Linked DNA regions of Cricetulus griseus. The protein of the gene in region 2 binds, or shares a complex with, the protein of the main gene of each other region. Links are inferred from orthologs where the notes say so. Each region holds a gene or a part of one and is shown on either strand. Other genes may lie near its edges.

What was found. Proteins that work in one complex are often made in the same cells at the same time.
Region 1: Ercc2 (region 2) and Polr2f share a complex: the UniProt entries of both Homo sapiens proteins name them as parts of the TBP-based Pol II pre-initiation complex. The link is inferred for Cricetulus griseus from reciprocal best matches to the Homo sapiens genes ERCC2 and POLR2F.

What each region holds. Positions count from the first base shown.
Region 1 is NC_048595.1:376,264,413-376,269,149, forward strand, and holds part of Polr2f (DNA-directed RNA polymerases I, II, and III subunit RPABC2), read left to right. Parts: intron 1-405; exon of another isoform or gene 406-437; coding exon 438-507; exon of another isoform or gene 508-560; coding exon of another isoform or gene 561-617; intron 618-2,251; coding exon 2,252-2,382; intron 2,383-4,737. UniProt on the Homo sapiens protein: DNA-dependent RNA polymerase catalyzes the transcription of DNA into RNA using the four ribonucleoside triphosphates as substrates.
Region 2 is NC_048602.1:27,969,520-27,974,629, reverse strand, and holds part of Ercc2 (general transcription and DNA repair factor IIH helicase subunit XPD), read left to right. Parts: intron 1-1,778; coding exon 1,779-1,856; intron 1,857-1,932; coding exon 1,933-1,995; intron 1,996-2,135; coding exon 2,136-2,249; intron 2,250-3,547; coding exon 3,548-3,664; intron 3,665-3,874; coding exon 3,875-3,991; intron 3,992-4,333; coding exon 4,334-4,457; intron 4,458-4,548; coding exon 4,549-4,645; intron 4,646-4,730; coding exon 4,731-4,864; intron 4,865-4,934; coding exon 4,935-5,103; intron 5,104-5,110. UniProt on the Homo sapiens protein: ATP-dependent 5'-3' DNA helicase. Component of the general transcription and DNA repair factor IIH (TFIIH) core complex, not absolutely essential for minimal transcription in vitro.

The DNA of each region.
Region 1 (4,737 bases), on a different chromosome or scaffold from region 2:
TTCCCCTCATGATAGGGCTAAAACTATGTTGGTGACTGGAGGGGTGGCTTAGTAATTACCAGCACGTGCTGCTTTTCCTGGGAGTGAGAGTTCAGTGCCCATCACCATGTTGAACAGTTCCAGCCACGGGACTTGATGCCTCCTTTCTGGCTTCCATAGGCGTACATTCACACACACAAACATAAATAAACCTTAAAACATAAATCCCCAGACCAGAAAAGTACATGTGCTGACTGAAGTAGTTCACAGAGAGAAACATCGATGACAAGTCCTAGTAAAATTTGGGGGCAGATGGGACAAGATTGAAGGTGTAAAGTGAAGCCAGAGTTTGATTCCCTCATCAAGATTTGCTGGTCCCTCCTACATCACAGCAGAGACCCCAAACTGTGTCCCTGATTCTGGCAGGTGATTCTAACCACCAGTGTCTTCTGGCTTAGTTTCGACGGCGATGACTTTGATGATGTGGAAGAGGACGAAGGACTAGATGACTTGGAAAATGCAGAGGAGGTTAGTAGCCATCCTCAGCTTCCTGCACTGCAACCTGGAAGCTAGACAGTGAGATGGTGATGTTTGCCAAAGGTTTCATCATTCCCTTTCCAGGGATGTGTCTCCTGCAGGTACACTTCGCCTTTGCCTAAGTGTCACCTCAACTAGGTCTTAAGAGTGTTGTGTCTTATTTATTTATTTTTTCTTTTCTTTTCATTTGTTTTTTTTTTTGTTTTTGTTTTTCGAGACAGGGTTTCCCTGCATAGTTTTGGAGCCTGTCCTAGAACTAGCTCTTGTGTCTTGAACTCACAGAGATCCAACTGCCTCTGGCATCCAAGCACTGGGATTAAAGGTGTGTGCCGCCACCGCCTGGCTTGTTGAGTCTTGTTATGTATGTTTTTTAAGACTTGTTCTTAGTGTATAGCCCAGGAACTCAGTATTTAAACCAGGCTGGCCTCTAGCTTACAGAAATCAGCCTTCCTTTGCTGCCTGAGTGCTGGAATTAAAGGCATGGGTTCTGGTAGAAATAGCTTTGATCTCTTTATTCACTACTCTATCCTAAAAACTTAAAATACCATTGGACAGTTTTTATTTAAAAAAAAATATATATATTTTGTGTGTACCGGGCAGTGGTGGCATACACCTTTAATCCCAGCAGCACTCAGAAGGCAGGGGCAAGCAGATCTCTGTGAGTTCAAGGACAGCTCAGGCTACACAGAGAAACCCTGTCTCAAATAAACAAAGAGAAATTTTGTGCATATGGACATGTGTGTCTGTGTGCTGTGTAGTGCATACGGAGGGGCAGAGGTTGCTGTTAGATGTCAGCCCCTGTCGTTCTCTGAACTTGGGTTCACTGTTTCAGCTAGGCTGTCGGTCAGCAAGCCCCAGAAATCTTTCTGTCGCTACCTCCTAGTTCTGTGGTTATAGGCACACACTGTTATCTACCCAGACTGTAAGGAGACTGAGGACCTAAATTTAGGCCCTTTATTCTTGGTTTCAGAATCCTGTAAACTCTGGGCATAGGCTGTGCACATTCCTGGCAGCAGTTGTTGCTCTGTGCCTGTTTTCTCTAGGTCGTGACCCTACTATCAGAACCCAGGGCCTTATGTGTCCTCAGTCACAGCCTGAACAGATGAGTAATGTGTAGCAGGTCATTGCTCAGTATGGTGTGACTTCCTCTTTACCCTGACTGTTCTAGTCACTCGACCCATTGACTCAGTTTCATTGTGTGAAAGATCTGGTGTTTGTGCTCATCATTTATAGGGCCCGCCTTCATTTGGGCAGGACAGTAGGCTCTAGAATCTTTTTTTTTTTTTTTTAAAGATTTTTATTTATTTATTTATTTTGTATACAACATTCTGTTTCCATGTCTATATGCACACCAGAAGAGGGCACCAGATCTCATAACAGATGGTTGTGAGCCACCATGTGGTTGCTGGGAATTGAACTCAGAACCTCTGGAAGAGCATTCGGTGATCTTAACCTCTGAGCCATCTCTCCAGCCCCCTAGGCTCTAGAATCTTGACCACAGTCCTCTTTACTGCTAGCTTGGAGACTTTGGTCAGGTTGGCTGGCTTTTGAAGCCCTTGGAATAGGGACCATCATCCCTGCCTCACCAGGTGGTAAGGAATGGGGTACTAGTGAGTCTCTGTATAGTCCTTGGCATCCAGAAATCGTTACTGGTGCTGAGTGTCATTGTCATCATCTTCCTCCCTGACCCAAAACTTGCCCTGAGATTTCCTGTCTTTGTTTTCTTGGTATCCAGGAGGGTCAGGAGAATGTTGAGATTCTACCCTCTGGTGAACGACCACAGGCCAACCAGAAGCGCATCACCACTCCTTACATGACCAAGTATGAGCGAGCCCGTGTACTGGGCACCCGGGCACTCCAGATCGCGTAAGTGTTGCCCCTCTGCTGTCTTCTCCATCAGCTGGGCCACAGTAAGCCCCAGGCTGCTGATCATGCCCTGTCCCTGTGTGTCAGGCATTGTGCTGGGCTTAGGGAGCCAGTAGCGTAATGTAAAAAGTAAGCCATGAAAAGTAACTGAGGAGCCAAATAACCTCACAGGAAAAAAGTGACAATAAGAACCCTAGTCAGGCCTGGTGGCATAGATACTCGGGTCACAGAAACAGGAGGATCATGGTTCAAGGCCTGCCTGGGCCATGGGTTGAGACAGGCCAGGCAGTGGGCCTTTAGTCCCAGCACTTGGGAGGCAGAGGCAGGCGGATCTCTGTGAGTTCGAGACCAGACTGGTCTACAAGAGCTAGTTCCAGGACAGCCTCCAAATCCACAGAGAAGCCCTGTGTGTGTGTGTGGGGGGGTGCTGCAGAGAGCCGGGCAGCGGAGACAGAGTGCTCCCAGTGCTCAGGAGACAGAGGCAGGCAGAGCTCTGTGAGTTTGGGGCCAACAGAGTAAGTTCCAGAACAGGCTCCAAAGCTACAGAGAAACCATTTTGAAAAACAAAAACAAAAAAAGCTGGAGAGAAGTTAAGAGCACATACTGTTGTTGTAGAGGAACCGAGTCATAGCTGCCTATCAATCACTTCAGCTCCAGGAGGGTCTGATACTTCTGGCCTCCATAGGCACTTCCTTTTATGCACATACCCCAGCATATACACACAAATACAAATAATTAAAAAAAAAAATAGTAAAAGATGTCAGTAGACCCTACAGGGATAGGTTCATGTTGACATTTGATAAGTCAGTGTGGAGCATTCATAGGGTGTGAAGTGCCCAGACAATCCTCAATCCAAGACAACCCAACTGTCATGTTTCTTTGTGAGGAAGACAGCTCCAGCATAGTCTAGGCTTTAGTGCTCCTTACTCTGCAGGATCCCCTGCCCTCTGGTGGTGCCCTTGCTGCCCATGGTTCACAGACCGCCAGACTGATTTCTGTCTTTGCTTAAGTGCTGAAATGGTTGGATAGCTTCCATTGGGTTCAGTGTGGCCTGCTAGCACCACCTGGTGGATGATGTCGCTCACTACTTGCTAACTGGGTGGTTGACATGCTTGTTGATTGGTGGTAGCTGCAGCACCAGAGTCACTTGAAGCCCACACTTGAACTTTGCGCGTCCATAGGGCACTGATGAAAGATGCCTTTCAGTTACTCCTGTCCCATCTGGAGAGACCAGGCTCAGGCAGGCCAGGACAGCCATGCATGGTCTGTAAGGCCTTATATAAAGATGGATTTCTTTTGTTTTCTTGGTGTTAAGGACTAAATCCAAGGCCTTACATGTTCTACTGCTGGCCATGTTTTGGTACATTTTGTTATTCAGGAAAGACACTTGGTTTCTGCCTTTGGGAAAATTCAGGCTTTTGAGGATAGCAGAGATCAGAATAAATAGTCAGTGTAACTCTCAAACTGGTTGGTCTCCAAAGTCACCCAGCAGGTCTGAAAGTACAGTCTTCAGAACCCTTCATTAGAAATTCTGTCCCAGGGCTGGAGAGATGGCTTTGCAATTAAGAGTTGCTGCTCTTGCAGAGGGCACAGGTTTGATTCCTACCACCCACATGACTAACAACCATCTGTTCCTCCAGTTCCAGGATGCTCAATGTCCTTCAAAGGCAAAACACCCATACACATAAAATAAAGTAATTAAAAACTTTTAAAGAAGCTGGAAGGTGGTGGCACACACCTTTGAGCCCAGCGCTTAGTAGGCAGAGACAGGTGGATCTCTGTGGGTTTGAGAACAGCTTGGTCTACAGAGCCAGTTTCAGGACAGCCAGGGCTGCACAGAGAAACCCTGTCTTAAAAAATAAATAAATAAATAAATAAATAAAATACAAAATCTGTCCTGATGATCTGGAGAAGCCATGGACCCTGGATTTGGCGTACTTCTTAGTAGCCCTGAATTTATTGGTGTAAGCCCATCCAGAGTTATCAGAGTTGTCTTTCTTAGGAGTTGACATCTCCCTGTTTGGTGTTGGTGCCTCTGCTTGGACCAAGCATCGGCTGGGGTCTGGGCACGCACAGTGGCCATGTGTGGTCCTAGGCTACTGGAAGCTCATGGTCTGCTGTGGACAGTAGTCTAGTGGCTTTGATGCCACAGAAGGCATATGTAAAGTAACGAGCACTGAAGACAGTCATTTCCAGAGTGGGGACACTGAGTCTCAGGCTTCTGGAGAGAGGGACTCAGAGGAGAAATGATATGGAATGTGCAAGTGCCTGAGCTTTTTTGCAGTGGCTGTGACAGAGTACTTGAGATGAGGCAGGTTCCTGGCTCAGTACATTTGGATCACAGTTCTGGGGGTG
Region 2 (5,110 bases):
ACTAACTTGCCCAGGCTCACGCTGAATTTAAGAACCCTCCTGCCTTAGGTCCATGTCTTGAAGAAGAGGAAGAAAGAAAGAATGTGTTGGTGATGATAACAGGAGGGGCTGGAGAGGTGGCACGGTGGTTGAGAGGACTTGCTGCCCTTCCGGAGGATCCCAGTTTGATTCCCAGTGCCCATGCCTGGCACTGACAACCAGCAGTGACTTCAGCTCTAGGGGGTCCGGCATCCTCTCCCTGCTTCTGCAGGCCCTGTACACACAGAGTGTACACACATACACACACATATAAATTAATCTTTGGTGGTGGTGGTGGTGGTTTTTTTTGTTTTGTTTTATGAGACAGAGTTTCTCTGCATTGCTTTGGAGGCTGTCCTGGAACTCGCCTCTGCCTCCCGAGTGCTGGGATTAAAGGTGTGCGCCACCAATGCCGGGCCCTAAATTAAAGTTTTTAAAGTTGGAGCTGGTGGCAGCCTTCCTAGGTTGTGAGGACTGTGGCAGTTCACACAGAAAGGGCAGCAGTTTCCAGCTCAGGGTGATTTTGTTGCTTTTTGTTGTTGTTGTTGTTGCTGGGAATTAGACCAACATGCTGGGCAGAGTGTCTGCACCTGGAGCTCCATCCCAGCCCTCTGTTTCCTTTCTGTATGAGACAGGACATAACTAAATTGCCCAGGCTCACTCTGTAGCCCAGGCTGACACTGATCTTAGCAGTTCTCCTGCCTTAGGTTCCAGGTGACAGACAGACTTTGACAGGCTGACTGGTGTTGATACTCAGAGTCTATTTGGCCTGTGTATGGTCACAGTAGTGGAAGGGGGGGGGTTCAGGATGTGGAGGACAGAGGACAACTTTGTGGACTTGGTTGTCTCCTACTTTTATGCGGGTCCTGGGAATCAAATTCAGGCTGGTAGACTTGATGGCAACCGCCTTTACGTGCTGAGCTGACTCAACAGCCCTGAACACAAACTTTCTTTAAAACAATTTTTAAAAATTGTATTTATTTATTTAGAGTGTGGGTGTCCATGCTCTGGTGTGCATGAGGAGGTCAGTGGACAACTTCTGGGAGGCAGTTTGGTTCTTCCTTCGGTGTAGGTGCCGGGGATTGAACTCAGTGATCAGCTGGGCCCCAGGTACCTTTACCTGCTGAGTCATCTCACTGGCCCACAAGTCTATTGATACTCTTAATCTTTTTTTTTTCTTTCTTTCTTTCTTTTTTGGTTTTTCAAGACAGGGTTTCTCTGTGTAACAGCCCTGGCTGTCCTGGAACTCACTCTGTAGACCAGGCTGGCCTCAAGCTCACAAAGAGCCTCCTGCCTCTGCCTGCTGAGTGCTGGGATTAAAGGCGTGCGCCACCAACGCCTGGCAGTCCTCACAATCTTGTTCCAAGTAAGGGCTGTGGAGCCAAGGAGTCAAGCAAGGATGCTGTGACCCAGGTGTGATCCAGAGAGGTCAACGAAATAGGGCTCAGCCTGCAACCCCAGTACTCAGGAGGTAGAGGCAGGAGCATCACCAAGTGTACAAAGCCAGCCAGAGGTGCATAGCAAGTACTAGACTAGCCAAGGCTACAGAGCACGATCCTTGGGATGAAAATTAAGGATGAAAAATAAAAACTCCAGCAAAAAAGAAGCAGAGATGAAGCCCCTTGTTCCCTGGGCCTTGATGGCAGTTCACCGTTGTGTGTGTCATGTTCCTAGGTAATGGTGTCCTCTAGGGTCCCCAGAGTTTATGACCCCGAGGTTCTGAGAGCCCGTGTCTTGTCTCTTCTGTGCCCAACTTTCAGGGTCATGGAGTCCTGGAGATGCCCTCAGGCACCGGGAAGACAGTGTCCCTGCTGGCCCTGATAGTGGCCTACCAGAGGGTGAGTGACCATCATGGGTGTCTGGACTGGGGGGCGGGGAGGGGCTGGATGGGGCTGAGCTGATTGTCACCCACAGGCTTTTCCGCTGGAGGTGACCAAACTTATCTACTGCTCTCGGACTGTGCCAGAGATTGAGAAGGTGGGCAGTGAGGATGGACCCAGTGGTCTGTCCCCTCCCCTCGGCCTCAGTGGTCCCCAGTTGCTGCCCTCACTGGCCTGGTGGGCAGGGGCTTATGCTGGTCCTGAGGTCCCCACGCAATGCTCCCATCGTCTAAGCAGGTCATAGAAGAGCTTCGCAAGCTGCTCAGCTTCTATGAGCAGCAGGAGGGCGAGAAGCTGCCGTTCTTGGGACTAGCTCTGAGCTCAAGAAAGAACCTGTGCATTCATCCCGAGGTGAGACCCGGGCCTCGCCCTCAGCCTTGGGCTACCCAGTGCAAGCCCCAGAGACAGCCCGTGGCCATGTGAGGTGACCACCAGTGTAACTCCCTTTTCAGTTAGATCTTGGGTCATCAGTCAGAGCGCAGGTTAGCTCCTGCTCCTAGAACAGAAACTGCTGGAGTGCCAGGGTGACGCCTCAGAATTTCTCATTTGACCTCATGGGATAAGTCAAAGTCTAAACGGTAGAGCACATTTGAAGTGTTAGGATTTTTATATACATGAAACATAAGTGAATTTCATGGCAGCCTCCTGTCCTATCTGACGATATCTATTATATGTATGTAGGTATTCCAGAACCCCAAAACACAGTTGAGCCAAGGGCTACTCAGTGAAGACAGGGTTTCTCTGTGTAGCCCTAGCTGTCCTGGAACTCACTCTGTAGACCAGGCTGGCCTTAAACTAACAGATCCTCCTGAGTGCTGGGTTCAAAAACATGTGACACTAACTGTCGGCTTGAATTTTTTTTTTTTTTAAGATTTATTTATCTAATGTGAGTTCTCTATTTGCATGTACACCCTTATTCCAGAAGAGGCCATCAGATCCCATTATAGATGGTTGTGGTTGGTAAGAACTGAACTCAAGACCTCTGGAACAGCAGCCAGTGCTCTTAACCTCTGAGCCATTTCTCTAGCCTTGTCTAGCTTGTTTTTTAAAAGAGAAACTTAGAGCCGGGCGTTTAATCCCAGCACTCAGGAGGCAGAGGCAGGCGATCTCTGTGAGTTCGAGGCGAGTGTGGTCTACAGATCGAATGCCAATAGGCTCTGAAACTACACAGAGAAACCCTGTCTCCAAAAAACAACAAAAAATAAAAGAGAGAGAGAGAGGGAGAAACTTAGATTTTTATTTTTTAAACACTTATAAACACTTCTATGTTGTTTTTTTAAGATTAATTTATGTGTTATGTAAACAGTGTTCTGCCTGCGTATCTCCCTGCACACGTTTTATTGTGAGGTAGGGCCTTGGTGTTTGCCCGGGCTGGCCTGAGTTGGTGCATTCCTCCTGCTCCAGCTGTCTTGGTAACTGGGATTCAGGTCTGTGCTGCCGTGCCCAGCTCTGGGGACGGTTCTGATGTCCCACTCTGACATCCCTGCAGCAAGTCCTTTTAACTAATAGTGGCTCAGGTGAAGGTTCTGGCTGCCCAGAAACCCCAGCTGACCTGCTACTTGTGATGTCCCGAGTTGGGAAACCCAGGTTGGCGTAGCTGGCACGCACTACCTCCTGTCTCTGTTGTAACTTGTCCCCTGAACCCCCAGGTGACACCACTGCGCTTTGGGAAGGACGTGGACGGCAAGTGTCACAGCCTCACAGCCTCATATGTGCGGGCCCAGTACCAGCAGGATGCCAGCCTGCCTCACTGCCGCTTCTATGAGGTGCAGGGAAGGGCCCGGGCCGGGGAGGGCAGACACCCTCAGGACAGCAGCTCTCCCTGACCCTTCCATCTTCTGGCCCGGGCCGGGGAGGGCAGACACCCTCAGGACAGCAGCTCTCCCTGACCCTGCCATCTTCTGGCCCGGGCCGGGGAGGGCAGAGACACTCTGGACAGCAGCTCTCCCTGACACTGCCATCTTCTGCCTCCCCAGGAGTTTGATGCCCACGGACGCCAGGTGCCCCTCCCGGCAGGCATCTACAACCTGGATGACCTGAAGGCCCTGGGGCAGCGGCAGGGCTGGTGCCCCTACTTCCTGGCTCGATACTCGGTGAAGAGTTGTTTTGTTTTCTTCTGGGGCAGGGTCTCACTTATAACCCAGGCTGGCCTCAAACTTAGAAGAACCTTACGCAGGTTCCCAGCTATGGGGGTTATAGGCATGAGCCACTTTTGCCCACCCCTCCGTTAGCCCATCTGTCTGCTTGCATCTTTGTTGACCTGGTACCTAGGTCTTCCTGTCTCCAGCCTCTGTTTATGCCTTGCCTGGGTGGTCCCATCTGTCTTTTCCATCCACCTGCTGTCTGTCTTGGTGTTACGTCTGTACACCTGGGAAGGAGTGGTATGGCGGGGGCAGCAGGGCCCAAGGCAAAAACTTATCCCTCCATGTTCCTAGATCCTGCATGCCAACGTGGTGGTTTACAGCTACCACTATCTCCTGGACCCCAAGATCGCAGACCTGGTGTCCAAAGAGCTGGCCCGCAAGGCCGTCGTGGTCTTCGATGAAGCCCACAACATTGGTGAGGAGGGTGCCAGGGTGTGCAGACAGCGGCGGCCTCTCTGCCCCGCCCCCAAGCCGGCTGAGCCCATGTCTGTCTGCTTTCCTCCTAGACAATGTCTGCATCGACTCCATGAGTGTAAACCTCACCCGCAGGACTCTGGACCGCTGCCAGAGCAACTTGGACACCTTGCAGAAGACGGTGCTCAGGTGCCCACTCTGCTCCCTGTGTGCCGCCTGCCTCCGTGGCCCTGGACACCTGCCCCATTCCAGCTCTGTCCCATGTCCCCGCCAGGATCAAGGAGACAGACGAGCAGCGGCTGCGGGACGAGTACCGGCGCCTGGTGGAGGGGCTGCGGGAGGCCAGCGCGGCGCGGGAGACAGACGCGCACCTGGCGAACCCTGTGCTGCCGGACGAGGTGCTGCAGGGTGAGCCGTGCCCCACCCCCCACCCTCACACGCCTTCCTTCCCGTGCCAGCTGACTCAGTCTCCCTGCAGAGGCCGTGCCAGGCTCCATCCGCACTGCCGAGCACTTCCTGGGCTTCCTGCGGCGGCTGCTGGAGTACGTCAAGTGGCGGCTGCGCGTGCAGCATGTGGTACAGGAGAGCCCTCCTGCCTTCCTGAGCGGCCTGGCTCAGCGCGTGTGCATCCAACGCAAGCCCCTCAGGTGCGCA